6 linked regions of the Bombyx mori genome follow. The protein of the gene in region 5 binds, or shares a complex with, the protein of the main gene of each other region. Links are inferred from orthologs where the notes say so. Each region holds a gene or a part of one and is shown on either strand. Other genes may lie near its edges.

Region 1 (4,262 bases), on a different chromosome or scaffold from region 5:
ACTGCGGGCGCGCTGCTGGCGCTACCTGCGGGCCTACGGGGGGCGCGTGCTGCAGGTCGCTCGTGCTGCAGGCACAACAATATGACATGCCCTTCTTCAAACGAGGCTTGTAGAGAGTACTTAACGATAGGCAGCGGCTTGGCTCTGCTCCTGGCATTGCTGAAGTCCATGGATGACGGGAACCACTCACCATCAGATGGGCCGTATACTCGTCTGCCTACAAGAGCAATAAATTTATATTCTTATATTTATATTTATATAAATTTATATTAATTCAAAATAGTTAAAAAATTTCATGATTGTCACATTTCCTCTATGATTGGATAAATATACATATTTTCCTAATTTTAAACAAATGTACATTTTTCAGAAGTCTCAGCTGGATGAGGACAGCCGCGTAGATTACGTGGTGTGCGACGACGGCGCCGCGCCGCGAATCAAGGGCCGCGCCGTCACTGCAGCCTGGCTGTGGAAATGTCATCAACAACGAAAACTGTGTCCAATATAACGACAGCTCAACTTGTGAATTCCTTTCATTAAATAACTGTCAGCTAACAACGCCTTTTCTTTCACAAATCTCAGTAAATGACCACCATTTTACTAAGATCCCATATCATCTCATTTCATTTAATTTCATTCTAGTTGATTAGGGTCAATTCCCACTGAAAGAGCAGCGGCCGGCAGCGTCTTTTTTAGGCAAAATATTACAAACTATTTTGAATCTTATCTACGTGATTAAAAAGTTCATAGTCATTTGAAGGCAAAGGAGGGGTAGCGTGACGTCGCGAGGCTGCACGAGCCTTCTACCGACTAGTCAAAAGAGGCGCCGCGCGGCTGATCGCGGCGCAGCTAGCTGACGTGCGGCCGACCGCGGTGCAGCTAACAGACTCGCGGCTGCGCGCGAGCGACCATTTCATACCCGCCCGCCCTGCCGCTTACGCATTTCGCGTCATTTTATTAGAGGGTATCAAGTTAGAACGTGCTACGCTCCGTGAGAAAAAAATGTACCCAAAATTTTCTTTTCCTTTTTCTTTCCGTTTTGTTTGTTACTTCTTGTTCTTCTTCTACAGCCAGTGCTATGATACATAAATCCAAATCCACCATATTTATTGCCACACAACTTTCCTTGAGTGAAGTAGATCGCACACTAGTTTTCAAAGCTACTACGCGGAGGTTCATTGCGGCGCCTCGGGATGCCGCGCTGCCTCTCGCGGCGCCGCACTGCCCCGCGCGGCGCCACACTGCCCCTTGCGGCGCCGCGCTCAATCACTTGCTCTTACGGCCGCTGCGCGCCGCTGCTCTTTCAGTGGGAATTGACCCTAATGTCTCAAATTAATCATCTTCATTTTATTTCATTTCACTCCATATTATCATTTTTCATAAAAATAAGACATGACTTAAAGGTCTTAATTACCAGTTCATAAAATCCCTAAAAAAATTAAAATTAGCAGAGATAATACCTACAATATTCTCTTGTACTCTGTGTTTCTGGGTTTGTAGTTTTGGTCGAATTAAAAATGGCTCTCAATATTAGTGTGAAGGTCCATCCTGTTGTTTTATTTCAAATTGTGGACGCATACGAACGTCGAAATGCAGATTCTCACAGAGTTATCGGCACCTTATTGGGTTCGTATTGATTTATAAATCATGCAATAACTATAAATTCAAAGGACATTAGTTGTCAACGTCATGTCGTGTACCAAATTTTATGAGTTGTTATTTAAAAGAAAAATCCCTAAATGCTAAATATGTACGTCAATTATCATTACACATTTCACTTTGGCTTTTCCACATCAACGTTATAGTTAATTTGATAAATTCCTTGGTCACATAAGCCAGGTGCAATACAAATGTGTAAAGGCGTTGTAAGGTTATGTTGTGCTGTTGCTGCAGGCACGAGCGACAAAGGAGTGGTGGAAGTAACCAACTGCTTCTGCGTGCCACACAAAGAACATGCCGATCAAGTCGAAGCGGAACTTAATTACGCGATGGATGTTTACGAGCTGAACAGAAGAGTCAATTCCTCTGAAAGTATTGTTGGTGAGCTATACCTGCATTATACTCAAATTCACATATGTAACAATACTCACAGACGCATACACACACAATTTACACTAATTATTATTATTATTATTATTATTATTAATGCTTTATTTCAGTTATTATTTTTTTTTAAAACCATAACATTTTGTTAGTAATAATTACTTATAATCTATGTTAGTAACTTAAAAATCTAACACATAACTATCATTATATTATACATTTTATACCATTATATATTATTATTTTTCTCCTTCCAAGTGCCTACTGCAAAGGCTATTGATCAGCAGTCCCTCGATCTTGCTCGATATGATTCTCAAAAGACTGTTGTCACTGTCACGAACTCGACGCAATAACGATGCACTTCTCTTCCGCATTATTGCAAAGAAGTCATCTGTGTGAGATGTCGCAAACATTGTGGATGCACTACAAAAGCGCGGCAGTGACAACATCATCCTAAACGCATTATTATATTGGACACGTAGGGCATTGTAAGCTCTCCGCGTGTATGTGGTCCACAGACTACTGGCGTAAAAATTCTGGCAATAAGCTTTAAAAATTGTAAGTTTGACATAGCTATCGCAACCAGTAAATCTGCGGGCCAGCATGTTGCATCTTACTATCAACTAATTGCCACATCATCATCATTTTCCTGCCCTTCTCCGAGTCACCTGGAGTCGGCGCAACATATTTTCTCCGTTCATACTCCTCTATCATAATACCATTTCTTCGCTCATTCCACTCTTACACATATTGTCCTTCATGCAATCCATCCATTTCTTCTTAGGTCTACCTCTTCCACTATAGCCTTCCACATTTATAGTTAACACTCTTGACAATTGCCAATTAATAAAATTGGATCTTTTACTTCCCTTAGCATACCTTATACATTTAAATTCAAACTCATTTGTATTATTTTTAGGTTGGTGGGCGACTGGCAATGAAGTAACCAACCACTCCTCTGTTATACACGAGTATTATTCCCGTGAATGCCGTGAGCCTGTCCATGTTACTCTGGACACTTCGCTGGCTGGAGGTCGAATGGGTTTACGTGCATATGTTTGTGTACCATTGGGAGTGCCAAATGGAAAGCAAGGTTGCATGTTCACTCCTGTAGATGTCACTCTCACATGCTATGAACCTGAGGTAATTATTGAAGATTTTGTACTGTATTCATTGTCAATATTTGCTTTATTAAGCAAAAATATGGTGAAAACTGCTGAAAGGCCATTAAACTCTGACTGTTACAGGTTTAAATTTGTGTTCAAAAGGCTTCAAAATCATGAGCTGTTTTAGACTCAAATTTGTTAATATTTCAATATCCATGAACTCCAAAACTGCATTGTGTGGAATCACATATTGTTATATTGTTAAATAAAAAAAGGGTGCGTGTACTTATGTGCGCGCGTAAGAAGTTATACTTAATTTTTATTAATTTTTTTTTTTTAATAATCATAAATTAATAATAAATATTTAATGTTAATAATTTAATAATGTTTAGTATGAATTACAGTCAAACCTGGATAAGCGAGAGTTAAAGGGAGCACAATCTCATTCTCGCTTATAGAGGTTTCTCACTAACCCGAGTTTCTCCCTAATGAACCCTCTGAATGTCATTTCGCGATTTTCCAGATTCAAACGCATTCACTATTTTAAGTTTATCACTTAATGACAGTACTTTAATTTTCCGTTTTGACATGATGCAGAACAGATTTTTCCCTCGCGATTGATTAACGATAAACTGAGTAAGTCTGACAAACAGGACGGTACACCGGGACACGTGTCCATTCGAAAAGAATGCGATAAATTAACAACGTTATTTAGTTCCACGAAATAGAATAGGTTCTATATTGACGAGAAAACAATACAAAAACAATGTTAAAAAGTTCCATGAAATTTAAGAATGGGTCATAAAATAGCAGATGTTAAATTTGTAATTTGTTTTGTCATTTGTTCCTCCTAAATAATATTATTATAAATAAATAAAGCTCGACTGTCGCTTATAGAGGTATAGACAAGTAGCAGTCTCACTTACGGAAGTCCATAAGGGAAAAAACTACTCTCGCTTACAGAGGTTTCTGTCTCTCGCTAATAGAGGTCTAAGAAGCTAAAAATGACGGGTCCTGGCTATTACTCTCATTTATAGAGTTTTCTCACTTATCCAGTTCTCACTTACCCAAGTTTGACTGTATATTAAAATCCCTTATTAATCTGGTAATTCC
Region 2 (3,978 bases), on a different chromosome or scaffold from region 5:
ACCGTGGAGGGGAGCTTATTCCAAAGCCGGACGGTACGTGGCAAAAAGATCTCTGGAAACGCCCTGTGGATGACCGCAGTAGTTCCAGGAATTATGGATGAACTCTATTCCGGTGGCGGGCGGTGTGATGGTAAAAACGAGATGATGGTTTCATGTCTAACAATTCCTTAGAGCACTCCCCATGGAACATACGGTGCAAAATAACAGAGTGAACCCAAGTCCCTCCGCAGACACAGAGGTTCCAAACGATCCGTGAGAATGGGATTATCGACAATCCGAACGGCCCTCCTCTGTATGGAGTCAAATGGAAGAAGCTGGTATTTGGGAGCCCCCGAACGGCTCTCTTCTGTATAGAGTCAAATGGAAGTAGCTGGTTTTTGGGAGCCCGGCCCAGAGGTCGGAGTAGTACTCCACACGAGGCCGGACCTGTGCTTTGTAGAGCGAGAGTCTTAAGCAAAAGTCGTAAGTTAACAAAATGTTCCATAAGGTACAACCTAATAAATAAACGATTAATTACAAATTGACGAACGGTAAAATATAAATACAGCGATAACGCGAATTGATACCACTTCCTTATTAAAGCAAATAATGAGACCTCACGTCTATAAGTGTAATTCGAGCCATATCACTTAACTTTATAGTATTTTTTTTAATTCAAAATCTGTAAGAATGTAATACAATTTATACATGGATAATAGAAAAAGATTGAACAACATTTGAGATTTATCATATAAATAAAAAATCTTTTAAACCTTAATTTTTATCATTACTAAAAATGGATTTGTTAAAGAATATTTACAAGATCATAATGCATTAATTGTTTTACATTTATACCGTAAACATTAGGATTAACTATCATTGTGATCCATAGTACAATACGCAAAATTACGGCACTTATTTATTGCATTGTAACTGGGATATAAAAACTACTATATTAATCTCATTAGCGTGTGTATGTCTTCGTATACCTACTCTTTTTAAAACCCAGAAATTTGTAAAAACTGGTATATAGTTCCAACAGTGTTTAAGTTTAATCGAGATGTGATATTCGTGGTAGTATTTTTAAAGGCTAATCTGTCGTATAGTGTCGATTGCAAATAAGGTATCGATTACAATTATCGATAGCTATTGATAGTCGATTTGGAGAGCTACACTAAAATGTAATCAAATCAAACGTTCTCTTGTGAATTAAAAATGGCGAGCCGTGCTGGTTCAGCTAGACGCGCTCCTGAAAATGAAGCGACGATCCAATATGTTCAGTGCGATGGACTGGTAAGTAAATTTAAAATTAAAGTTTAGATAGGTTCTCTGAGACGGACGTCAACTGTAGGTTTTAAATTAAAAACTTTGTGAAAGTTCGTGCCTCGACACGTCATGTATTTTTACCATTTAATTAATATATAGAAGTAAACATCGTCAATTAAGGTGGATTATTATGATCTGGAACATGATTCGTGTTGTATGATTTTAGGAGATCTTAGATTACAATAAAATAGGTTGCCGTTGCAATAATAAAGATAATTGTATAGGTTATGTTTTCAATTTTGTGCTCTCGTTTCTTTTTAAATAAATCGGGCAAACGTTGACAATTCACCAAACCTTGAATAATTCGTTATGTTAATTTCTATAGGATTCTATGAACCAAAAAACTTTCGATATAAAAAGAAAATAAAAGACTACAAAGGTTTTTTATTTCTGTTTACAACATATAAACGTTGTTGAGTCATTGACTGTTTTGGGACATTTGCCCTGAGCCCGGGGGTCATTGAAATAGGAGGATGATCTCACCTAACTGTACATCTAAAACATTAAATTTTCTCTGAACTATATAATTAGTGTTTTAAACTATGCTTCATTACAAAGTTTAGATCTTGATAGTATATGTGAAGTCATTTTTTGTTATATACTATACTACTATTTACTGATAATTTTATAGTTTCCTAACTGTAAATGATTGAGATTAGTTTTTGTTCTGATTGATTGCAAATAGCAAGCTGATTGATTTCCTACACATACACAGAAAGTTAATATAGCAATAATTTATTAGGGATGGGTAGGTATTAATTTGTTTTGTTAAACTTGTTACACATTAAAGTGTATTTTAACTTGCCTTGAATAATATCCTCTCTGAAGTTATTTAGTTGAAACATGCTTAAAGTAGTGGTAAAACAGTTTAATATGTGGTAATCAAACAAATCCTCATCGAACTAACTCAAGCATTTGAAATGACAGATCTGCTCCCACTTTTATAATATATTTGTGCTTTTTATTTTAGGCAGTGATGAAAATAGTGAAACACTGTCATGAAGAATCATGCAGCAACATGGAGGTGGCTCAGGGAGCTCTCCTTGGTTTGGTCGTTGAGAACCGTCTGGAGATTACCAACTGCTTCCCATTTCCAAAGCATGACGACACCATGGATGAGGAGGAATACCAGTTGGACATGATGAGGAGGCTTCGAAGAGTCAATGTTGATCATTTTCATGTTGGATGGTAATTAATATTGAAAATTGTTTTATAGTATGTCAAAATATGTCATACAATATTTTAAATTAGAACAGCAGAACTTTCTTTTTTCTTATACCTCATATCTTTCTTCAGGTACCAGAGTGCAGATGTAGGCAATTTTCTAAGCCTTTCGTTATTAGAGTCACAATATCACTATCAGACCTCTATTGAGGAGAGTGTTGTTGTGATTTACGATACAAAGAAATCAGCCAGAGGATTCTTGACTTTGAAGGCCTATCGTTTGACACCTCAGGTAATTAAGCTCTCATAACTATACACATTTTAAAGTGCTAATGTTGTTAATTGAGCTTTATGACAGAACTAATTTCTGAAGTTGAGCTATTTTATTTATTTATATTACGTATATTTAGTGAAGTTATCACTTGTTAATGCTAAGTGAATGGCAGAATCTATATTTTTGAGATATTTTAAATGTTTTTTATGGGGATACTATCTAAGTGGTCCATGCAACCTGCAGATATCACAACATGAGTGCATTAAGCGGTAGGCAGCGGCTTGGCTCTGCCCTTGGCATTGCTGAAGTCCATGGGCGATGGTAACCACTCACCATCAGGTGGGCCGTATGCTCGTCTGCCTACAAAGGCAATAAAAATAATAAAAAAAAATATATTTGATGTCTCACCATTAAACCAGAATGAATGTATGATTCCCAGCAAATATAAAGAGGATGGTAATGTATGTTCTTATACACATGTCTTAAGATGTAAGACTGTTCTCAATCCTTAAACACATTATTATTACGTGCAGAAATAATAGTAACTTGGACTCACAATATGCTCATCAACAAGCAAGTAAATTATTGTTGTTTTTTTTTTATATTTATATTGTGAAAACATTATGTATAGTTGGGTGTTCATGTATGAATAAGAATATATGTAAAATTGAGGTTAATACTTACTTTACAGGCTATTGCTATGTACAAGGAAGGCGATTACACTCCGGAAGCACTACGTAACCTGAAGATTGGCTATGAAAATCTATTCATTGAAGTGCCAATTGTTATCCGGAACTCTCCATTAACTAACATAATGATCTCTGAGCTCACCGAGATGATACCTGAAGAGGAAGGATCCAAGTTTTTGGATCTGGGTACTGCATCTGTTCTCGAAGGTTTGTTTAATTTTACTATGGTATACAATTATCAGAAAAGCTTTCAAGATTTAGGCTACATCTGACTACATCAATTATGGGTTGATTCCTTTGCTGCAATCTGAAGCTACTACTTTTCCCAGTAGTTGTTTCCTAACTGCTATATTAAACTTGTAATTTTTACTATGTGGAGGAATGGCAATAGACAATTTTAAGCAGGTGAGCTTTCACTATCATCTTGCTTATTAATTCTACTAAGAAAGTGTCCTCTTAAAGGGTACAGATAAACATCCATCCAATGTCATTAAAACTTCGATTCCCTTATGTTAATATGAGGTGGCTCTTAAGAGCCTGAAGATT
Region 3 (3,500 bases), on a different chromosome or scaffold from region 5:
CCAGGATTCATTGATGACCTAGTCAAGAATATTTTAGTCCAGAGTAAGTAAAATTCATTGTTTATGACTTCATTGATTGTGTTTGTAATTCAAATTGCTGATTTTTGCTGTGAAACAGTAATGCATTCAGTTTGAAGTGTAGTGTAGCCGTTGTACTGCACAATTTAGACTTTCGACATAATGTCTCAAGGAGTATGGCAGCATTCACATTGTGATGTCACAGTAACTGCTTGTCACCAGGTGGGCCGTGAGCTCATTCACCTAATAATAAATAAACATATAGTTCATGCTTAATATGGGGCTTGGTTCTGCTTAATACGTAATCATCATCGTGAAGTAAATATCTTCTCATTGTCAGTGGTGGTCACCAATGTAGAATATGACATTTATAAATGAAATCTTTCATTTCTAGATTGAAGTTAATTCAGAGCAACTCCATTATTATGATTGTGAACTTTCTTTCATTAGATGCCGCTAAAGTGTAAAAAGTCTTATAAAATTTAATAAATTCTGGATTTTTTGTTGCGTTTCGCTATGAAGGGCGGGGCGGCTGTCGTACTGTTAAAAGTGAGACCTTTACATCTCATGTCTCAAGGTGGGTGGCGGTATTTACGTTGTAGATATCTATGGGCTCCGGTAACCATTTAACATCAGATGAGCCGTAAATTTGTCCACCCAACTATGCAATAAAAAAACATATCCAGATTAATCTGGTACGCAAGATCTCATCTAAAGTCATTAGGAAATAAATTTTCTTACTATGCTTAGATCTTTTCATATTACAAGAAATGTCATCTGCTTTTATCTGTTGTGCAGCAGCCATTATGCTTTTATGAGATATCAGGCTTCATGGCTGCATGTTAAATCATTGGCATGATGCATTGAACGTTTAAGATTTTAATGACATATCTAGCTTTCAATATCTCCATAAGAGAATAATATTTCTTCTAATTGTGATCCTCAAATAAATTTATTTTGTCATATGATCTTTTTAGAGAGTTAATACTTATGTAATGTGTTAATTGTATGTGAAAGTGTATTTAAAATGGGTGAAGTATGACTAATATGATAAAGTATGACTGAAGTATGACGAAGAATCTATAATTACAGTGTCATCAGCGGATATCCGACGAATAAAATTGACTGTCGATAATCTATATATTGAAAAACAGAAGGCAGAAAAGAATGATAAAACTAAGAAGGCCACAAAGGGCAAGGGCAAGGCCAAGTTAAAACTTGAAGGGGACAATGTGAGTTTATTTTTTATTTAGTTATCAGTAACTCGAATATCCAGTAATTAAGGTATGTTGTAAGGTTGCGTTTATTACTGGTGATAGGACCTCTTGTGAGTCCGCGCGGGTAGGTCCCACCCTGCCTATTTCTGCCGTGAAGCAGTAATGCGTTTCGGTTTGAAGGGTAGGGCAGCCGTTGTAACTATACTTGAGACCTTAGGGCTTATATCTCAAGATGGGTGGCGAATTTACGTTGAAGATGTCTATGGGCTCCAGTAACTACTTAACACCAGGTGGGCTGTGAGCTCGTCCACCCATCTAAGCTATAAAAAAAACAAAACAGTCAGCTCTGATGGGCATAGCGGTTCTGTTAATATCTACAACAAACAATCAACATTCCAGTTTAAATCTGAGACTAAATTATGTTTTTATGTAGGCAGTTCACATGAGTTAAAGTATCCACATGATATGTAATCTCCCTAAAGTCTACAATACGAATAAAAAAAAACAAAAACAACTCAAAACACACAGTCCTTTGACTTCACATCTTAATAATCCAATTACAATATTTTGATGTTTATAAACAGCAGAATTTTGCATTAGCGCAGACAATTTACATTAAAAAAAAAGTTGTGTTTGTACCAAGGAAAACTTTTGTAAAATTACCGTGCAAATTTCACGAAATAATGATAATTCGTGTGATAATGATAAACGTGATTGATAAGGAAGTGTAGGCTGTCGATAAGCTGATATCAGACCGCGCTAGTATCGACATAGGTCAAGTTCGTGCCTAATCTATACTTGAACAATAATTGTATATTTAGCCAGTTTGATTTTGTGAGAGAAAAACAAAAACATTTGATTGAAACAAAATTTACCCTTGCATGAACCTACAGTACATAATGCTTATAGCGTCTCTTGAACATTTAAAGTCATTCCAATTCTTTACGGATGGAACTTTGTTGGTATTATTAGACATTGCAATTGCTAAATTGGAAAAATATATTGATAGTTGTTCATTCGATTGTGAGATGATCAGTGTGATTAACAGGTTTAAATATTACAATAACTTCATTGATCCGGTGAATTTCTGACGCTACGAAAGTAGACTAGTAGAGAAATCAAATGTACATCTATACTAATATATAAATCTACAGTGGTTTTTACGAATGTTCCATTATAACTACTGAACTATGCATCCGATTGACTTGAAACTTGGTATCCATGTAGAAAATACATGTACTTAATAGATAGGCTAATATTTCTATGAGTTTTGGACTCCCTAATAATAATGTTAATTTTAAATGCCCAACGAAGCGGGCGAGTACGGCTAGTCGCATATAAAGCCAATTAAACGGATCTTTATACTGCACTAAATCTCATTCAATAAAGAAACTCGTTGAGCTCACTCGTACAATTTTTTTCAATTTTCACTATTTTCTCAATCGTGGGTATTTATATATTTACACTTTTCTCGTTTCAGGCTCATCTCAATCAATACGAATCATATGGGAATTTCGATGACGACTACGATGATTTCATTTAAATAAAGCCAATAAGGAACTTATACACAAATTTGATGTCCGAATTCATTGAATTTTCAACTTCATTTACTATATAAAAAAAAATACTTTCCTATATATATATATAAATGTTTTTTGTAGAATGATATTGCGTTAGTCTGTTTTCTTGTAATCTCGTTTTATTTATTGTCGGTAATCGATTTGGCACTGGCCAAAATCGATATTGTCGATAACAACAATCGATTTATGTAATTCGGACATCAGGTAAGAAAATAATCATAGCATTGTTTACGCTAACGGTAATGGTAATGGTGTTGCTATGATAAAGTTTTAAACATCCGGTTGGAATGCTTAAATTATCGATTATGTAATACATAGAGTATCTTTGGTGACATAAAATCGAACTGAATTGTAAGTAATTGGGCTGTTACCTTAATCCATTGTTGTTACTTCTATAAACTAATCTACACAATTTAGCAATCCAACTCGATAAATATATAATATGCCATTGTATAGCATATAAACATACTATATACATGTAATGTACAGTTTCATTGAACGATTATTTGTCCGATGTTATATATAGAGAATAAATTTTTTTATTGTGATATTATTTTTGTTTTATTTGATCAACACGTTTTATTGTATTATTTGTGTGTTCAATATTTGTTAGCAAATGACCAAACACTGGTGTTACATATTTAAAGGTATTTGCCAAAAGCATTTTTTGTTGGGATTAGATTAG
Region 4 (3,980 bases), on a different chromosome or scaffold from region 5:
CATCGTCACTAAACTGTTGCCAATATAAAGAATTATAATTAATTGTACTTTTCTTGTTCAATATTCTTCTACAGTTGACTGAATTATTAAATAAAATTTGAAAAAATTATTATTCTAAGCTTATAATTCTAAAGATGTAAAATAGACATGTATTAATTTGTTTGAAATTGCCACCAACTAAATCAACGATCTTGAAAAATTTTTGTACCACAGACCAAACAAATTTTATGTAATAAGGCGAACCTATTCATGCTTAGTCGATTTTGAAAGTACTTCAGAACGAGAACTCTAGTAAAATAATGTAATAGCCCTTAATATAGGAAGTCCGCTGAGCGGACGCGGCACTGTTGCCGCCACTGGCCGCGTCTGTTTGAAGTCCTTTGAGCGGACGGGTCCCTGTTGATAGATAAATGTGATTTGACATTTCACGTATCTGTGGAGTCCGCTCAGAGGACACCGCACTGGGGAGAGGTTAATGTATCACAATAGAACATTAACTAGAGTTACAACCATGCTCGGTAAGAGCTGTTGTTAGTAAGCTAGTGTTAATAAGAAATAACTATCCAGTTGATTTTATTAACGCAATATTATAATGGAAGAAATTTTCAATACTCGAATAATCATCATTTGAAGACCAAAACTAAGACATGTAAAACATGCATGCCGTGGTAGCGCAGGCTCTTCTTACACAAGTATACGCAACCTTCCTGTTGTTCACTTATCCTGAGTGCATACCTCAAAATAGAGGCAATTTACTGAAATGACTTGGGACTATAATAATATTGTGAATTGTAATTATAATCTTGTAGAATTTTCCCACAATGGCGCACTTTTAAGATTTTTAATCTGTTAACAATATACAATATTAAAAGATGACAACAAAAAAAAAATTAGCAAAAAAACACAGCAACTCTTATCTCCCAATCAATTTATAACTTTTAGTCTGATCATTTTCTTTTTAAAATTTGAAGCATATGTTTAATGTTTATTACAATTAACATTAGATATGTGTCGTTCGCCAACGAACGAACCAAACGACCCGGGTTTCAAAATCCGCGCGAACATTTCAAAAAATATGAGTCGTTCACTAGATTGACCCGTTTAACAAAACCTACGAATCAGAAGAAAAGAACCATGCAACAGTCATTCGGGTCATTTCGGGTTGCCGGGTCTCGCCCCGCGCCCGTCTCGGTTAGACGTTCGCTGTCGCATAATGACGCATAACGTATTTGAATTTTTTTTATCTCACCTAAACAATCGAACTATAACAGTTCCTTTAAACTGTTATTCAATACTAAACTTCATTCAGCCAGTGACCTGATAATATTAATCACATCATAAATTGGTGTGATTAACGGAAATCCAAACGTTTGACTGAACGGGTCGAACGAACCGGATCATTTTGTCAACAGGTCAGTATTGATCTGATTCTCTAAAATTGATTGAACAACACATATCTAATTCACATCACTGTACTATTCCGGAATCAAAGCATCTTGTTATACAAGTCAAGACAAATTAATAACAAATTGATATGCCAATCACTAGATGCACTTATTAAACTCATAATTGAAATAAATAGAAGTTTTAGTGGCTTACTATTGTTACTATTAAATTATTTATCCATGTATATTATTATATTACTCCAAATTATCTTTCAAGCAGTATGCCAGTTGACCAACAAGTCTACTAAGAGTTTAGGAACGAAAGAGTAGCACGAGCAACCCTTTGTCCTGCCAAGATGTAACTTGTGGGATTTTTTCAGATATTTTAAATTTAACATGGGTTGAATCCTATGTCATACCTTATTTATTATGAATTAAAAATGTTTTAATAATATTATACCATATTTTACAAAGATGACTGAATACAAGAAATAAAATTTATAATTAAAATAATTTCACAATCATTACAAAATATGGCTGTTCCCTTTGCCCATTCAATTTTTTGGACAAGTCGTTAGAAAGCTGTAAGCTGGCACAATAGCAGATTGCGAGCAGAGCAGAAATACATTATTGATCGCTACCCCCTCTATTAGCTACTGATAGTGGACATTTAGGAAAGAATTTAAAGGATCACATTTTTCAAAACTTCTAAAAGAGTTACAAAATTTTGCTAATTGCATTGCTGATTACCGAAAAAAAGTTTCATATATCTTGTCATCCTACATGAGATTAATGTTAGTCTCCCTTGGTAACTTAAAAAACTATTTATCTTTTTTTAAACTATAAATTGAAAATTTTGTTTCCTTGATTCCCAATTATTTATTTTAAATTTACCGTGTAAACTGGCGCGGGGGCGCGTACTACTGGCTCGTCCTCGCTGCTGCTCTCTGACTCCGAGTCCGTCCCAGTTGCAAAGAAACGACTCATATTTACAAGAGTTAGTTAATGCTTCTGTAAAAGAAAACTTCGTTAATTCCAAATGAACATTATTTGACTCCAATGGTAATTTATTTTCTTAAATATCTTAAATAAACATCAAAATTAGTAATAAATAGTTGACTTGTCCTCGCGTTGAGGTTATAAATTAGAACTGTTTAACATTTTTACAATACTTACTGTCTTATATTAAAAACAGAGTAGGTATTCAGTTTTCAAGCAATCCTCTGATGATAGACTTAATAAATTTGTAGCGAATAGAAAGAAAGCTCTCAAATACAGACCTTGCCCACGACTCACTTCATACGTCAAACGCATCAAAGTTGATCAAAGAGCTAAACTTTGTTTCAATTGTTCAATTGGAAAGGCAAAGGGAACGTGGCATATTGACTTTTTTTGTTCAATTAGACAGACACTTAAAAAAATCGTTTTATTTGGCTACATCCCTTTGCTCGTCGTATCAGATAAATTAAACCTAAAATAAACATTTATGGTACATACCTACCATAATAATTGTGTATTATCTGTGCTTACCACCCCCATAATTTCAAGTGCATTCTTTTTGAACATCACCAATAAAGTAACGAGAACACACCTACGTAGTAAATTACATTTTAAGCAATGTCTGGGCATAAATATTTCACAAATCCGAACAACCTATTCGAAAATGACGACGTCGATGATAACGAATTTGTAGATCGCTTCCGGTCAAGAATACCTCAAACACAGCAAGCAAATAAGCCTTATGGAGGTCATATTGCAGAACTGGAACGTCAACGCCAAGCTATGATCCAAACACAAAGAGAAATCGAACAACGGACAATAGATTCATCAACGAGAAGTATCGGATTGCTTCGTGATTCTGAACAAATTGGTATTGCAACGGCCGAAGAGCTTTCCCGACAACGTGAACAGCTACAGAACACAGACAGGCGACTTGATGAGATTAACACCAATTTAAACTATAGTCAAAAACATTTAAATGGTATAAAGTCTGTATTTTATGGTCTGAAGAATTATATTTCCGGAAAAAGTGATCAAACACCATCTAAAAGTCCAGCGACCTCGAATGTACGTAATGCTGGTACAAGTAGTAGCAGGCTTGATGAAACCCTAGATAATATGTCTAGGAACGTTGAAGATCGCTTTGAGAGTCATCCCTCAGCACGCCTACATGGTTTGTCTCAAGAAAGCGCTAAGAGTCCTGAAACAGAAAACGAGAGAGTAAATAATATACTTGATTCGAACTTGGATGAAATGGTGCATGCTATATCCCGGCTCAAACATCTAGGAGTTGCACTTGGTGAAGAGATAGAACAGCAAAACAACCTCGTGGATACTATTCAAGACAAAGTTGAGATTGCAGATATCAAGATTGGTAAACAAAATAAACAAATGAATAAACTACTTGGGAAATAGCAATAATTATAGCAAATTAAAGATTTATTTTAAACAACAACTAAAAGGGTCTATTAATCTATTAAATGTATCTGTTTATAAAGATTTAGCATGTTTTTAATGTGAGTGGTTTGCAAAATTCAGTAGTGTAATCATTTTGTGTGATAAGGAATACTAATGTATGGCAAAGTTTGATAAGAT
Region 5 (4,260 bases):
TAATTTTAAGTATTATGAATACCATAAGGTTCTATGTTTGTACGTAGCAAATCACATTAGTTGCTGATTGCTGTACTATTCTCGATGGATTAATAAAGGCTGTTTGTTATACGACCAAGTTAAGTGCGTAGTGACTATTGATTGTGAGTTTTGTCTCTCGTTTGTCTCGTTCGAGTGGTGCGCCGGATGTTAGTCAAAAACAGTGTACTGGTTTGCCAAGAGAAGTTACCTACAGTTGTGTTTAGTTAGCAACGCATAACGTGTTTGTACTTTAATTTGTTTTTTAGTTGTACTCTTGGAAATCAATGGTTATTAATTTAAGAAAATAAAATGTATGTCAAATATTGTTGAAAATGTTTTATTTTTTATCCGTCTTTTATAGCGTCAAACGAAAAATCAGTTATTTCCTGGAAACATCGGGGTTAGCTTTGAGAATGTTTGGAGATCACAGTATCGATCAACCCGAATTGTACTAGCGAACATTTCAAGAAATCTTGCAAGTGGACATATTTCAAACCTAACTTTGGACTGTGGGTGCATTATTTTTAGAGCGTGGACTGTATTTTGGTGCTAGAACCGGTCACCATCCTCGTTGAACCCGTCGCTTGCGACGATGGGCTCGACGAGTGAATTAGCCCATAGACACAGCCCACTGAGTTTCTCGTCGGAGCTTCTCAGTGGGTTGCGTTTCCGATCCGGTGGTAGATTCTGCGAAGCACTGCTCTTGCTAGGGCCAGTGTTAGCAACACTTCCGGTTTGATCCCCGTGAGCTCACCTATATGTTAGGATGAAGCTGAAATAGCTTTTCAAGGCTATAGCAAGGATATACCATAGGTAGGAAAAAAGAAAAGAGAAAAAAAAGAGGTGCTAGCTTCAATAAAAACTAGATTCAGAGCGAAGAATTTTTGATGTACAACACGTGCACGTACGACCAGAATTTTATTGTAATTCTCAAATATTAAGTGTATAATCTATGATTGTAACTAAATTAAATGTATGGACTTTTTGGCGGGAACGCGAGGAGTGAAGTTGTGTGATTGGTTTTATTTTCTCTATTTAGTGTTTCTTCAGGTTTCAGTGTGTAATAACGGTGGTTTATTAACTGTTTAATATCTGCGAAAGTGCACAAATGTGGGAAAATGAAACAAAGCCGCTAGACGTAGCAATACGGGATCCTCCAAAAAGTCCACTGAAAAAATCTTAGTAAATGACACCATTTTACTGAGATTATATTTCATCCCATATCATCTCATCTCATTTAATTTAATTTCATTTCATTTCACTCCATATTATCATTTTTCATAAAAATAAGAATATAAATTAAAATAAGACATGACCTAAAGGTCTTAGTTACCAGGTCATAACATCCTATAAAAATTTACCATAGGCTATAGAGCTCAACTATGCGCCAAGCGAAGGCTAAATAAAAATTAAGAAAAAAAAATCTTCTGTCAAAAGGTCCGCCGCCTGCCACATGTCACCACATCGTTTTTATTGTGATTTATAATAAACTATTAAATAAAATACTTTCTAAACATGGTAAATAACACTCTTATACAAAATTTTAATGCCTCCAAAGTTATTGTGTGAAATATCAAACAAATTCAATCACAAACATAGCTATGACTATAAATTAGGTAAATTACTTACTCATGTAATTCCAGAAACCTCTTATGCTGCAAGGGCACCAGCGTGCCATCACACAGATCAAATATAACCGCGAGGGTGACTTGCTCTTCTCCGCCGCTAAAGATTCAAAACCAAATGTTTGGTGGTCACTGAACGGCGAACGTCTTGGCACTTTCAACGGCCACGGTGGTGTAATATGGTGCCTTGACGTCGACTGGCAGTCAATTAATCTCATCACAGGTGGTGGCGACAGTTCCTGCAGGTATTATCCTCAGTATATTATAAACAAATAAAGTGTTGAAAATTGCATTCTTTTTTCATGTTGTTTGCTCAAAGATGAGTAGGCTGTTGATAACACTAAACGATGCACAGGTTATGGGATCTGGAGACAGGCAAGAATATTGCAACACTCAAATCCAACTCTTCTGTAAGAACATGCAACTTCAGCTATAGTGCATATCAAGCTGCTTATACCACTGACAAAGCTATGGGACACCCTTGTGAGGTAATTACATAGTATATACATTTTATTTAAATAGAGAAACATGAATTGAGGATGAGAAAGACTAATGGATATTATGACTGGCAACTTTAACATTAGAAGAAAAGTAAAATTGTATGCAAAGCTAAGCATAAATATTATTATAGTTGTTTCCGTTTCAGAACTTTCATTCTCTATTAAACCACAATGTGAACTTGTCTGCTTCACTTCAAAGTGGTTTATTGAGGGCCATGCCTTAAAAAAAATCTTATTTTTTGTTCTTTAACATATCCGTCAATTAATGATTACAACTTAGTATTCAAGAGTAATTCCTACATACCTTGTATTTCTTTAAACTAAGATTTGTTGACAGTACAAGTGTCATTTATGCTGACATTTCACTTTGTTTTTTTTTATTATGCTCCAGACATTTAAAATTTATTATTACCGAAAGGCTCACTTGTAAATTTAATACCCTTTAACTTAAATCACAAAATATTTTGAGCAGGAAATACCCTTTTTCAAACTGAACTGAAACTTTGGAGTCGGTTAAATTATAGTGTGCTTAGGTAGACAATATCAACTCTTGGGAATCTCTATTTTAACCCTTAATGTGTTTCCTATATACATATACAGTAAGTTTTTACTAACTAGTATTATAATTTTGTATATCCTGTGATAACAATTAAGATATAAAGTATTATGTCAATTTACAGGTGTTCGTTATTGATACAAGAACAATTGATGAAACAGTGTCAGGTCAAGCTCCTATTTTAAAATGGGAAATCACAGATTCAAAGGTTACTTCAATGATTTGGGGTTCTTTAGATGAGACAATTATCACTGGTCATGAAGCTGGTGACCTTATACAATGGGATCTGAGGGTATGCAAATAATTATTCAATAGACTAAGTAAATTCAAATATTATCTACTTTCTCCATGCAAAAAAATTATCTTTCATAGAAATTATTCTGTTTATTTTTAAATAGTGCTAATGATATCTAATTATTTTTCAGACTGGTAAAAAAATCCACTCTGTTAAAGAGCATACCCACCAAATCACCGATATGCAACTTTCTCGTGACGGCACAATGTTTGTAACTGCTTCCAAGGATCATACTGCTAAGTTATTTGACACTAACTCATTAGAACTTCTTAAAGAATACAAGACAGAGAGACCTGTAAATTCTGCTGCTCTCAGTCCAATCCTTGATCATGTTGTACTTGGTGGTGGTCAAGATGCTATGGAAGTGACAACCACATCAACCAGACAGGGTAAATTCGATGCTCGTTTCTTCCACTTAGTATTTGAAGAGGAGTTTGGCCGAGTGAAAGGTCACTTTGGTCCTATCAACAGTTTGGCTTTCCATCCAGATGGAAAGTCCTATGCTTCCGGAGGTGAAGATGGTTATGTTCGTGTTCATAACTTTGATCAATCTTACTTTGACTACACTTTCGATTACAATAGGGAGTAGTTAATTTGCAATACTCTAGTGTTTCATAAAATTATAAGAAAATAAAGCCTCATTAAAGTTTTTTGTATATCATTTATTTAAATGCATGCCACTTTATCAATCTACATATATAATAAAACAATTAATTCAGTACGTCTATACATTTAGGAAATTTTATATAAGTAGAAAAATAATAATTAAAGAACAGTAATAGAACATAAACTGGACATTTTTAGAATTGGTCACCATTTGTCTGTTCACCCACATTTGTCACATATTTCTGAATCTATTGAAAGGATTTTCACTGCATATATATTGAAACATTGTATGGAAATAGTTTAACCTTTAAAAAACTGGGATGCCTTTCATTCCACTGCTGAGCATGGATCTCTTCCACCCATGTGATATGTAATGCAGCAGAAAGCTAGTTTGTAATATATTCTGTTAATCCCATTATTCATTTTCAACAGACTATTTCATGATGGTACATATTTAATAATAAAAGGTAAAATTAAATATATAAATATAAAAAACGAAGGTATAAATAATGAAGATTTAAAAAAATTATAGTAATATGTCAAAAAGAACAGATCTCATAATAAAGAACATAAAAGTGGGTCAATAAACAAAAAAATTGTAATAGATGCAACATTTATTAATACAAAACTTTACACTTATGGAATACTTTGATCACA
Region 6 (3,957 bases), on a different chromosome or scaffold from region 5:
TTGCATCTTCTCTTGCATATGAAGCATTTTCATCTGTATATGTGCCCAGTAGCTCAATCATTACTTTAGCAGCTAGTTCACTGTAAATAAAATACATTTATATTTTTTAACGGAACATTCGAGTTTGTATTGTACACTAATTCAAAGCGATTACAAAAATCTACTTACTTACTATTTATTTAGTGCCCTTGTAAGAAAGACATTCCTGTGCAAGGCTGTCATCTTTTTAATATATTACATACATAATCCTCTTATTAGTAGATAGCAGTTTTTAAAATCAGGCAGGTCCAATGACAACAGCACATCGTATACTTAAATTACTTTTATAATTAAGTTGTTGTGGCCTAAGAGATAAGAGGTCCGGTGCATTCGTGTTGATGCACCCGGTGTTCGAATTTTTCTAATGAAATACGTACTCAACAAGTGTTCACGGTTGATTTCCACGGTGAAGGAATAACATCGTGTAATAAAATTCAAACCCGCAAAAATTATAATTTGCGTAATTACTGGTGGTAGGACCTCTTGTGAGTCCGCGCGGGTGGGTACCACCACCCTGCCTATTTCTGCCGTGAAGCAGTAATGCGTTTCGGTTTGAAGGGTGGGGCAGCCATTGCAACTTACTTGAGACCTTAGAACTTATATCTCAAGATGGGTGGCGCATTTACGTTGTGGAGGTCTATGGGCTCCAGTAACCACTTAACACCAGGTGGGCTGTGAACTCGTCCAGCAATCCAAGCAATAAAAAAAAAAAAAATAACACAAAATGAATAGTACTAAAATAATTTTCAAATAGCAAAACATAATTCTAAACATAGAATCTCTTTTGGTGAAATATGTTTGCTATTTTGAGAAATATTAATAACAATGTTTCCTTAACAAGCAATCAGACTTTGGTACATCACTCATAGAAATAATATGGTCATTGTTTAATAAATTTAATGTAGTGAGAACATACCTGTTTTGGTCTTTTAACACTTGATGTAAAAGCCGATACAATTTCTGCATTTGTTCATTAGAGGGTGGGCAGTTAGCAAACTCTTTCCTAAGCTGCTCAACCCCAGTGAAGACTTCCCTGACAAATCCAACTCGTGCAGCCAGTTCTATGACATGATAATATACATGGTATCTTAGAGGTGAGTTGGGTTCTAAGTTGTTGTAAAGTCTCCATAACCTATGAAACAAACATTTTGCAAAATTACTATCTTTCATGTGGATGAAAGTGATTGTCCTAAACTAAATACTGCTGGGTGATTATTTGGTATAAATTTTTTTTCATTACTTTCCTGTCAGCAGTTCCACTTTTTGTGCCACAATTAAAACTTTTGATGAATATACTATTACTTAATCATACTTCCATTCACACACAAGCATCAAGCATTTCTGTAAGCCTTATGCATTTTTCCCTAACAATCATTAATACATATTCTGCTTCAATTCTATAAAATACCAATTTGGAATTCTAGGATCTATTTTTATTATATTTTACTAGCGACACGCCCTCGCTTCGCTTCGGAAACTGTAATTTATTATTGATTTCTCCACTATTTAATGGATGTTATTATACATATAAACCTTCCTCTTCAATGCCTCTATCTATTAAAAAAACTGCATCAAATTTTATTGCGTAGTTTTAAAGATTTAAGCATACATAGGGATATAGGGACAGAGAAAGAGACTTTGTTTTATACTATGTAGTGAAGACATGTACATTGGATCCATTTAATCCCAAAAATAAGTAAATTTATTTGACACATTTTTTTCTGTCCTTAATGATTTTAAAATATTGTTTATTTGACATTTAAATAAATTATAAAAAAATAAAAATTGCAACATTCATTTTTAAACATTTATGGGCAAGAAATAAAAAGCCTTATTCCCTATGTCATGATGGATTTAAACCTGTGATTTCACTTAAATCTTTGTAACTAAGATCTGATAAGTGATGTAGTTGGTTGAATAATAAAGGTTACTTGCATAGTTAAAAAAACCTCTATATACTTACGATTGCAAAGCTACCATTCCAAGTTTAGGGCCAGGAGCCTTAGTGAGCCTTTGACTAAATGCTAAGATAAGGTTTTCTCCTCTTTCTAATGGTATCTGTGAATATTAGTTGCAATATATATGTAAGTATGCGAGTCAACTATCAAACATTTATTTTTATTGCCCTTGTAGGCTGACGAGCACACGGCCCACCTGATGGTGGTTACCGTCGCCCATGGACTTCAGCAATGCCAGGGGCAGAGCCAAGTCGCTGCCTACCGCTTAGTACTCTAATTAATGCTAAAGTACACCTAGATGTTTCTTATTAAAAATAACTATAGCTTTTGCGTTCAACTTACAGAAACCATAATAGAGACAATACTGTTCAGAATGGCTTCGATGTCCGATTCACTCGGCTCTTTGAAACAAGCATCACAAACCCCAACGATCTTATGCAGATCATCCTCAATGCCCTTAGGTGATTTTTCTTCTGAAATCTCGGCGCCAAGGCTCTTAAAATATCTTCTCAGTTCGAGTGCCTTCAATCAAGAAAGAAATTTTATTAAAATTTGCATGTAGACACATTGCAGCAAATAATTTGTTTTGAACGACAGGTTATGTTGACATAAACTGACCTGATCTTCCAGGGATATGTCCATAAACACAGCTGGCCCTTGCATTTTAATTCCTTTTTTGAACTGTATTCTTTTATTTATTATTTATAAGCATTAAAGTGAATGCAAGAACGATTTCTTAGCAACGAAATGTGGCAAACGATATGACAGTTAATAGAGTAGTATTTCTAGTTTTTCCAACTGAGAGGGCAAAGGTATCATAACATATAGCCTAATCTTTTGTATATTGTTTTTATGAAAAATGATATAAAGAGAAATGAATTGCAACGTGAGCATTATAAGGTGTTAGTGTGACTTCAATTTGGAAATTATATGATTCCCGAGCTTCTCCAATATTGTGCCTTGTTCCTCACAGTACACATCCACTGTAATACTTATGGCATTTGATAAGAACAAAACTACACAATTTAAGAAATATACCGACACTAAACCACTAAACAGTAATTGTGACTTTTAATAAAAAATTCAGTTGAATTAGGAATTTACTGTCAGAAATGCATAAACTACGTTTCAAATGGTATTTTAAAACAGTAACTTATTGGTAAAGACCCGTTATCGTGGCAACTATATCTCGTAAATTTGTAAACCTACATCTGGCTTAAAGGTCTTGTTACCAAATCACAAAAACTTCAAAAAGAAAAATACCTACATCGTAGGTAGTGAATTTTAATCGATAAACAATATTTTACAGAAATCGGCTTGATATATTAATAAAAAATGCGTAGTTTTCGAAAATTTATAGATATAAGTACGCATATAAATGGCACAAAAGTGAAAAATAACCTACCATACGTATCTTCCGGTATTCCATCCTTAGACCATATAGTTGGTAAGTTTTACTATTATGTTTAATGGATTAGATTGGCAAAACAAGATCAAATCAATTTTAAACAATTGTAGGGAACAAATTTAATTTATAAAAGTTTTTATTGTCATATATTTACAAAAATCAATAAAATAAATATAATTTTACACTTTCTAGGTGGAGGAATACCTGCAGGCAGCATTTTTGTTGTAGGTTCGTGAATTTCTTTTAAAATTGCATAATATCTTAGAGCCAAAACAAATTTAATAAATAAATATGGATATGAAATTTAATAAATAATCAAATTAAAAATATTTAGTTTTTTATCATAACTTCATTTAATTTTCAATACATTGCATTTTAAGAAAGTAAGATTAATATGATTTTTATATTCACACAACGCATTGTTATTAATTCCAATGAAAGGACTTCAATTACCTTATTTACTTTTCAGAGGAAGATGTCCTTGGTGTGTACAGCAAAGTGTTATTCAAATATTTCATAGCAGAGGGTGTAGCTTGTGACCATGAATTATTT

The links.
Region 1: eIF3i (region 5) and eukaryotic translation initiation factor 3 subunit F share a complex: the UniProt entries of both Drosophila melanogaster proteins name them as parts of the eukaryotic translation initiation factor 3 (eIF-3) complex. The link is inferred for Bombyx mori from reciprocal best matches to the Drosophila melanogaster genes eIF3i and eIF3f1.
Region 2: eIF3i (region 5) and eIF3h share a complex: the UniProt entries of both Drosophila melanogaster proteins name them as parts of the eukaryotic translation initiation factor 3 (eIF-3) complex. The link is inferred for Bombyx mori from reciprocal best matches to the Drosophila melanogaster genes eIF3i and eIF3h.
Region 3: eIF3i (region 5) and eukaryotic translation initiation factor 3 subunit J share a complex: the UniProt entries of both Drosophila melanogaster proteins name them as parts of the eukaryotic translation initiation factor 3 (eIF-3) complex. The link is inferred for Bombyx mori from reciprocal best matches to the Drosophila melanogaster genes eIF3i and eIF3j.
Region 4: eIF3i (region 5) and eIF3c share a complex: the UniProt entries of both Drosophila melanogaster proteins name them as parts of the eukaryotic translation initiation factor 3 (eIF-3) complex. The link is inferred for Bombyx mori from reciprocal best matches to the Drosophila melanogaster genes eIF3i and eIF3c.
Region 6: eIF3i (region 5) and eukaryotic translation initiation factor 3 subunit M share a complex: the UniProt entries of both Drosophila melanogaster proteins name them as parts of the eukaryotic translation initiation factor 3 (eIF-3) complex. The link is inferred for Bombyx mori from reciprocal best matches to the Drosophila melanogaster genes eIF3i and eIF3m.

Annotation. Positions count from the first base shown.
Region 1 is NC_085124.1:490,865-495,126, reverse strand, and holds the start of eukaryotic translation initiation factor 3 subunit F, read left to right. Parts: upstream 1-1,462; 5' UTR 1,463-1,517; coding exon 1,518-1,626; intron 1,627-1,893; coding exon 1,894-2,040; intron 2,041-2,962; coding exon 2,963-3,186; intron 3,187-4,262. Other genes in the region: DNA repair protein XRCC1, read left to right, coding at 1-55, 371-508. UniProt on the Drosophila melanogaster protein: Component of the eukaryotic translation initiation factor 3 (eIF-3) complex, which is involved in protein synthesis of a specialized repertoire of mRNAs and, together with other initiation factors, stimulates binding of mRNA and methionyl-tRNAi to the 40S ribosome.
Region 2 is NC_085110.1:3,930,549-3,934,526, forward strand, and holds the start of eIF3h (eukaryotic translation initiation factor 3 subunit H), read left to right. Parts: upstream 1-1,178; 5' UTR 1,179-1,194; coding exon 1,195-1,272; intron 1,273-2,275; coding exon 2,276-2,493; intron 2,494-2,601; coding exon 2,602-2,761; intron 2,762-3,434; coding exon 3,435-3,639; intron 3,640-3,978. UniProt on the Drosophila melanogaster protein: Component of the eukaryotic translation initiation factor 3 (eIF-3) complex, which is involved in protein synthesis of a specialized repertoire of mRNAs and, together with other initiation factors, stimulates binding of mRNA and methionyl-tRNAi to the 40S ribosome.
Region 3 is NC_085125.1:12,545,423-12,548,922, forward strand, and holds the end of eukaryotic translation initiation factor 3 subunit J, read left to right. Parts: coding exon 1-43; intron 44-1,110; coding exon 1,111-1,250; intron 1,251-2,715; coding exon 2,716-2,778; 3' UTR 2,779-3,139; downstream 3,140-3,500. UniProt on the Drosophila melanogaster protein: Component of the eukaryotic translation initiation factor 3 (eIF-3) complex, which is involved in protein synthesis of a specialized repertoire of mRNAs and, together with other initiation factors, stimulates binding of mRNA and methionyl-tRNAi to the 40S ribosome.
Region 4 is NC_085122.1:5,758,885-5,762,864, reverse strand, and holds the start of eIF3c (eukaryotic translation initiation factor 3 subunit C), read right to left. Parts: upstream 2,801-3,980; 5' UTR 2,666-2,800; exon of another isoform or gene 2,562-2,665; intron 2,397-2,561; 5' UTR 2,373-2,396; coding exon 2,280-2,372; intron 14-2,279; coding exon 1-13. Other genes in the region: soluble NSF attachment protein 29, read left to right, coding at 3,003-3,800. UniProt on the Drosophila melanogaster protein: Component of the eukaryotic translation initiation factor 3 (eIF-3) complex, which is involved in protein synthesis of a specialized repertoire of mRNAs and, together with other initiation factors, stimulates binding of mRNA and methionyl-tRNAi to the 40S ribosome.
Region 5 is NC_085121.1:5,018,518-5,022,777, reverse strand, and holds eIF3i (eukaryotic translation initiation factor 3 subunit I), read left to right. Parts: upstream 1-1,460; 5' UTR 1,461-1,536; coding exon 1,537-1,539; intron 1,540-1,664; coding exon 1,665-1,891; intron 1,892-2,001; coding exon 2,002-2,134; intron 2,135-2,826; coding exon 2,827-2,994; intron 2,995-3,127; coding exon 3,128-3,586; 3' UTR 3,587-3,787; downstream 3,788-4,260. UniProt on the Drosophila melanogaster protein: Component of the eukaryotic translation initiation factor 3 (eIF-3) complex, which is involved in protein synthesis of a specialized repertoire of mRNAs and, together with other initiation factors, stimulates binding of mRNA and methionyl-tRNAi to the 40S ribosome.
Region 6 is NC_085119.1:6,794,689-6,798,645, reverse strand, and holds the start of eukaryotic translation initiation factor 3 subunit M, read right to left. Parts: upstream 2,801-3,957; 5' UTR 2,661-2,800; coding exon 2,616-2,660; intron 2,520-2,615; coding exon 2,340-2,519; intron 2,098-2,339; coding exon 2,003-2,097; intron 1,172-2,002; coding exon 956-1,171; intron 81-955; coding exon 1-80. UniProt on the Drosophila melanogaster protein: Component of the eukaryotic translation initiation factor 3 (eIF-3) complex, which is involved in protein synthesis of a specialized repertoire of mRNAs and, together with other initiation factors, stimulates binding of mRNA and methionyl-tRNAi to the 40S ribosome.